Linked DNA regions of Oryctolagus cuniculus. The protein of the gene in region 2 interacts with the protein of the main gene of each other region in a pairwise test. Links are inferred from orthologs where the notes say so. Each region holds a gene or a part of one and is shown on either strand. Other genes may lie near its edges.

The links.
Region 1: the proteins of SEC23B (region 2) and PRRC1 interact in binary tests that used the Homo sapiens proteins (3 or more experiments, as listed by UniProt). The two-hybrid records come from large-scale screens. The link is inferred for Oryctolagus cuniculus from reciprocal best matches to the Homo sapiens genes SEC23B and PRRC1.

What each region holds. Positions count from the first base shown.
Region 1 is NC_091437.1:16,666,122-16,669,769, forward strand, and holds part of PRRC1 (protein PRRC1), read left to right. Parts: intron 1-401; coding exon 402-791; intron 792-3,347; coding exon 3,348-3,508; intron 3,509-3,648. UniProt on the Homo sapiens protein: May act as a regulator of the protein kinase A (PKA) activity during embryonic development.
Region 2 is NC_091442.1:43,327,219-43,330,866, reverse strand, and holds part of SEC23B (protein transport protein Sec23B), read right to left. Parts: intron 3,035-3,648; coding exon 2,957-3,034; intron 496-2,956; coding exon 334-495; intron 1-333. UniProt on the Homo sapiens protein: Component of the coat protein complex II (COPII) which promotes the formation of transport vesicles from the endoplasmic reticulum (ER).

The DNA.
Region 1 (3,648 bases), on a different chromosome or scaffold from region 2:
ACTGTACATCTTCTGTCTCTTACCACAACAGAATATCTAAAAGTCCTGTGCTAGGTTTGTTCTGTCTTGTGATTTGATTAACCTTTTTCAGCCTTAGATTTTATATTCACACCAGGGATGAAAAATGGCTTTATTTTATTAAAAACATACTGAAACAAATAAGCCAACAACTAAGATCTACTTGATGAACAGGGTCATAATTTAAGTTCATGTAGCTGTTTCCTTGTAGGAGTCATTTGCACCCAACCATATTTACTGCATATTTTAAATTAAACATTTATAGTTGTTCCTGGGGATGTGGCCTGTTCATTTTTTAAAATTTGTGAGAACAAAATCACGAGAAAACTAAGTAAAGAGCATCTCCGATATTTTCCTCACGTCCTCTCTCTTGTTTGTTCTAGCTGCGACCAGTTCTTTTCCCTCTGCGAACGTGTCCACTCTGGAGTCCTTGCCGCCGCACGCCTACTCGACCCCTCAGCCGTCCCTGGCGCCCGTCAGGCCCTCGGCACCCTTACCTTTTGTGCCTCCTTCCCCGGTTCCGTCTGTCCCCCCACTAGGGACTTCAGTGCCACCTCCTGTGTCCTCGGCGCCTGCTGCTGCCTTCAGTCATGCTCCTCCGTTCCACTTCCCACCTTCAGCGTCTGCTCCCAGTGCCCTTCTACCCGCCCCCGCTCCGGGTCCGCCTACATCAGGGTTTTCTGTTGGTGCGACGTACGACATTACGAGGGGCCACGCCGGCAGAGCCCCGCAGACGCCCCTCATGCCGTCCTTCTCCGCACCTCCGGTGACAGGTAATTCTCACTCGTGAGGAAACACGGCACTCCAGGTAGTGTTGCGTCTTTAAAAGCGGACAGCGTTTTTGAGGTGTAATGTGCCTATCATACAGTCCATCCGTTTAAAGTGTATCGCTTAGGGTGGGCATTGGCTGGCGGCTAAGGTGCCACATGAGAAGCCTGTGTTCCGTGTCGGAGTGCTGGGTGTGAGTCCTGCCACAGTTCCAACTCCAGCTTCCCGCTGTTGTGGACTTGGGAGGCAGAGGTCATGGCACAAGTATTTGGGAGTCTGTCACTCACGTGGGGCACCTGACGGGATTCTGGGCTCCTGGCTCAGCCTCAGCTGTTACAGGTATTTAGAGAGAACCAGTGGATGAAAGATCTCTCTCTCTCTCTCCATCTCCCTGCCTTTCAAATAAAATAAAGATTGGAAAAAATACTATGCATAATTCAGTAATTGTCTATTTACAGAGTTGTGCATCCATTACCCTAGTCACTTTTTTGAGAAGGCTTATTTCATTATTCATTTTATTTATTTATTTGAGAGAGAGAGAACACACACTCCCACTTGATACGTTTCCTGCTGCCTCTTAATGGTGTGCAGTAGTGGGAAACTGGGATGGAGCGTGGAGCCAGGACTTGAACCCAACACTCCTATTACGCCCTACTTTGCCTGATCCTCATAGCCCTAAGCAACCACTGATCTACTTTCTGTCTGGATTGGCTTATTCTGGGCACTTCATACAAAAGGAATCATGTGATCTCCGATAACTGACATCTTAGAGTATTTTCAGACTTTGTCCACTTGTAGAGTGTGCCAGCACTTCATTCCTTTGCATGGCTAAATAATATTCCAGGGTATGAATAGATCATGCTGTATCTGTTGAACAGTCGGTCTTGGTTCATTCCACTTTTTCGTGGTTTGGATAGTGCTGCTTCATATACCTGTGGGCAGGTCTGTGTGTGGATGTGTTTCCATTTCTCTTCAGTATATACTTGGGCCTGGAATTACTGACTTCTATGCTACTCCTATGCTACTTGAAGACTGCCCAACTTTTCCAAAGCAGGTGCACCATTTTACTTTCTCATTAGCGATGTGCGGTGGTCCTGTTATTTTTATTTGTTAAAAGTTTTGTATGTAGGGCCGGCACCATGGCTCACTTGGCTAATCCTCCGCCTGTGGTACCGGCACCCCGGGTTCTAGTCCCGGTTGGGGCGCCAGTTCTGTCCTGGTTGCTCCTCTTCCAGTCCAGCTCTCTGCTGTATCCCGGGAGTGCAGTGGAGGATGGCCCAAGTGCTCGGGCCCTGCACCTGCATGGAAGACCAGGAGGAGGCACCTGGCTCCTGGCTTTGGATCAGTGCAGCGCGCTGGCCATAGCAGCCATTTAGGGGGTGAACTAATGGAAGGAAGACCTTTTTCTCTGTTTCTCCCACTGTCTAACTCTGTCTGTTAAAGAAAAAAAACCAAACTTTGTATATAATTAGCATGGGAGGTATCAGAAAAAACTCCAGCATTTTGTCCTAACATCTGTACACTTATAAATGGCAAGGTGAAGTCTGAGTGTTTTTCAAAGCTTTGCTTAAAAAATTGTCAAGGCTGACTAGTGTCATTTACCCAAGTGTGCCAAGACTTGGTGATCCTGGGTCAGTTACTTCTATTATATTCTTTTTTTTAAGATTTATTTATTCAAAAAGCAGAGTTACAGAAAGAGAAATGGAGTGACAGAGAGTAGTCTTCCATCTGCTGGTTCTCTCTCCAAATTGCCACAGCAGCTGGAGCTGGGCCAGTCCAAAGCCAAAAGCCAGGAGCTTCTTCTGGGTCTCCCACGTGGGTGCAGGGGTCCAAGTACTTGGGCCGCCCTCCATTGCTTTCCCAGGCACATTAGCAGGGAGCCAGATCAGAAGAGAAGCAGCCGGGACTTGAACCTGTTCATATGGGATGCTGGAGCTGCAGGCAGTGGCTTTCCTGCTGTGCTGCAAGTTTGGCCCCATTTCCACTTTCTGCTTATCTGGAATGGTTATTGGAAACCAGTTGTCAAAACTTCATCTCACCATCTCCTTCCTGTTGTTTCTTATGTTAGGGAACAGAGACAACTTTGTTGCAATTTTTATGAATTTAATTGTGCTTACCTACCTTTACACATAAAATACATTGAGAGTACAAGTTTTGCATCCCTGTCTTAGTATATGTGAATGTAGGTCATCCTTTTATATGATGAGTTTGGCTGCTTCATATTTTTGTAGATTAAAGAGATTAGAGGGGTTGCTGTCCACATTCAGCTGCTGAATGGGACAGACATGATGAACTCCTTGATGTAGATGTTTTTGTCAATCTTTAAAACCCTTGATGTAAGCTTGTATTAAAGAAAATGAATTTCTTCTTTGGAATTCTATTTAATTTGCATTTTGTACAAGCCTGGGTGATTCTTTGAGTTTATAACTTAATCTTGAAATGCCTCAGTATAGGTTACATTATTAAGGCTGTTAAGCCACTCATCTTGTTTTATGTCATCTTTTGATAGGACAAAGTTTATAGAATAAATTACACATATTAAAATTTTTACCACTGACTAGGTATTTTGCCAACTCCCATTACTCAGCAAGCCAGTTTGACATCTGTGGCCCAGGGAACTGGAACCACATCAGCCATAACTTTCCCAGAGGAGCAAGAAGATCCTAGAATCAGTCAAGGCCAGGATGAAGCATCTGCTGGTGGAATCTGGGGTTTTATTAAGGTAAGAGGCATTTACTTTTAAAATTACTTTTGATTTTCAAAATACAAAATAGTGTAAGGAAAAAGTAAAAGTCCTTTTTATTTTCATTACCAGTTTCCCATGGTCTTTTGTCTGTGTATCTATGTAGATATACCTGTTCA
Region 2 (3,648 bases):
TAGAAAAGTTGCTGTTTCGATTTTTCTCAGTAACATGTTGTTACATAATTTTTGTGAATATTTCATAGGTTACTTATTTTTTCTACTATGAAACACTCAGATTATTATCTAACTCTCTATTTTAATAGTTTGTAAACAGCTTTATACGTCCAGTCTTTTTCCTGTGGATATTTTTAATACTCAAAAATAAGGTTAAGTTGCTACAGAAACTTAAAGTTTTCAATATTTTTTTTTAAATTCTGTTCTAAAAGTAAATTTGCTAGGGGAGAATTAAAAAAAAACAGACATATGAGGTGACTGCAGTTCTCCAAAGAGCCCCCATATAGCACCTACCTCGGGGGGCCCCTGGAATGAGTAGGAGTAGAGGATGGGCTGGATCATGATGAGAGACTGCGTCAGATCCTGCCGCGCAAAGTGGTGCCTGTAATACGACGACTCATCGGGGCTGTTGTTAAACACCTGGAGGAACGGCGATCTTCTGAGGTGGAACATGAACTGCAAACACAAAGCGAGAGGCAAAGGCACAAAGCTGCAACCCTGCCGCGGTTCGGCAGAGGCGGCCCACCTCAGCACCGACACAGCAGAGCCCCAACTTCAGGAGAAAGGTCTCTACGTTCACATAAACAGGAAGCAGAAAGCGGTGCCTGGGGTCGGGGGAGAGGGCAATGAAGAGTTCTGTTGAATGGGTTGAGAATTTTGGTTTTCTTGGGGCCAGCGCTGTGGCACAGCATAAAACTGTCACCTGCAGTGCCGGCATCCCACATGGGTGCCGGTTCATGTCCCGGCTGCTCCACTTCTGATCCCACTCTCTGCTGTGGCCTGGGAAAGCAGCAGAAGATGGCTTAAATCCTTGGGCCATGTGGGAGACCCAGAAGAAGCTCCTGGCTTCAGATCAGCACAGCTCCGGCTATTGTGGCCAACTGGGGGAGTGAACCAGCAGACTGAAAATCTGTCTCTCTCTGCCTCTCCTTCTCTGTGTAACTCTGACTTTCAAATAAATAAATAAACCTTTAAAAAAAAAGAAAAAGAAAAAGAGAATTTCGGTTTCCCAAGATGTGACCCCCTGGGATCTGCTGGGTAACAACGTGAATAAACTTAACACTACCCAAATGGTTAACGTTTCTGGGTGCATTTTAAAGTTACATGTTTTTGACTATGATTTAAACAATGTTTAAAGGTCCTCGGGATATGGCAGAGCTTCCACGTGAAAGGGAAAAGGTCAAGAAACACTTAATTTCCAGAGCATCTGGTCTGTGCAGACAGAATATCTGCTCTCTGAGAAGTCAGGTCCCATGGGGAAAAAGCCCCCTGGGGCATCCTCACATCACCAGCCACAGCACTGAAAGTACTACAGCAGGTGGGGGTGGTGACGGGCCAGCCCACTACCCAGAGCTGTGGAGTTGAAGATAGATCCTGAAAGACATGAATGGGATGGCTGGAGGTCAGAGAGAGGGGACTGCAGGCCTAGGAAGGGCAGATGAGAGCTCAGGGCGCAAGCTAGTCCTTGGGGCTGCAGTGACAGGCACAGGGGAGAGACAATGCTGGGGAGGTCATGGTCCTCACCCCAAGAATTACAGGGGGCTGGGGGGCAGACTTTTCGCTCAGTGTGTAGAGCTGCCAGCATGTGACAGTGAGCTGCCTTGAGAAGTACAAAGCTTCTTGAGGCTCAGAATTAAACCACAGGCTACTAAAGACTAATGTGCCTGACATTCAGTAGATTCTACGTGCAAGGCACGACGTGCTTGCCAAGAATCATTGAATCCTTCCAATAAACCCACGAGTTCTCCTTATTTACAGCTGAGGAAACTGAGGCAGACAGGTGTGACCAATTTGCCCCAGGTCACTGCACTATGCAGTGGCAGCGAGGGACTCTCCTCCAGGCCACTGGCTCTAGAGACTGGGCTCCTGACGTCTATCCTAGAATGCCTTGACAGAGACTCCTTAGGAAAACCTCATCTGCTGGTTTTCCAACTGCTCTTCAAGAATCTCAGTGAAGCGAATGCTAAGGGCACTGCTTGGGGGAGCCACTGGGTGGGTGGGGTGCATGGGCACAGAGTGGCATCCAGTCCCTCTACTTTACGTGCTAGCTTTTGAGGAGGGCCCCTTGGAGAAAGGACTGCAAATCACTTCTCCAGACCAACTCCTCCCTTCTAAACTGAAATCCACAGGGGTTGGGACCTCACCTGTGATAGCAGTGGTGGGGCGAGAGCTGAAACTCTGCTCTGATCTTCACAAACTCCACCTGGCCTCCACCTGCCGGGCACAGACCCCGGCAAGTCCCAGGCTCCTGCTGTCATCTGGCTCACACGAAGCACTGAACAGGTGGCTGGCACCGCACCAGGTTTCAGTACTTGATGGAGCCCTCAAAGCCAGCCACAGAGCTCAGCTCTAGCTCACTCACAGACAAAGGCGGAAGTCTGGGAAACGTGGAAACCTAGGTCCATGAGAGCAGCTTCCTGCTCCATCCACTTCTCTCCTCTCTTCCCTTGCCCAGGGGCAGCCATGTGCTTCGTTTCAGCCTTTTGTAGTTACTTTCAGAGCTGCTAACTACCGATGCCTAAATAGGACGCAGCTGGATAACCACAGACTCACTGCGAAACGCTTGTCATGTTATGTTAATAACCTGTCATACTAACTGTGTTTTCGTTCTGTTAAATCATCTTGCCCTCACTTTGCTGGTTTGCTGCTGAGGGAACTAACTTCTGCAAATTAGAGATCTGGTTGTGGCCTACTGCCAAAGACCCTGCTTCGCCTTCTCAGGACACTAGATGCACTTGTTTTCTCCTGACTGTTCTTGCTGTCTTCTGTAGGGCCTGGGGTCGTGCCTCACACACACAACCTGGTCTTCAGTTAATAAAACTCCTACAGCTCCTCATAGAGGTTGGAAATGGAACACACTCTTCACTTTACTGCAATGGTTACTCTGCAGGAATTCTTAAAAATGTGTATTACTTACCTGAGGATATAGAGAGAAGGAATCTGATAACCTGAAAGAAGAGGGATCTTCTTTGTTATACTGTCCAAACTTCTGACACTGTGGAAAGGAAACATATTATTAAAAACAAACAAACAAAAAACTAAGATAGTGTCAGGTGTTAAAATGCAGTCGTCTTCTTTTTTTTTTTTTTTAAAGATTTATTTATTTGAAAGAGTTACAGAGAGAGAGAGACAGACAGATAGAGAGATGTCTTCCATAAACTGGTTCACTCCCCAAATGGCCTCAACAGCTGGAGCTGAGCTGATCTGGAGCAAGAGCCAGGAGCTTCTTCTGGGTCTCTCAGGTGGGTGCAGGGGCCCAAGGACTTGGGCCATCCTCTGCTGCTTTCACAGGTGCATTAGCAGAAAGTTGAATCAGACAGCAGAGCAGCTGGGACTCAAACCGGTGCCCATATGGGAAGCTGGCGCTGTAGGCCTTTAACCCGCTGTGCCACAGTGCCGACCTCTATGTTCCAGTCTTAACTCTGCCACCTACTGAGTCTAGACTAGTGTCTCTCAGGCATCAAGAGGCAGATGACCACCACTCACAGTGTGGGGGGGTGGGGGTTAAGATGCAGACTCTGGAGAGGAACTGCAGCTCCCCTCCTCTAGCAGTTCCCATTCAATGCTGGCCGAGGTCACCCCGGCCACAGAGGGGCTGTGTAATCTCTC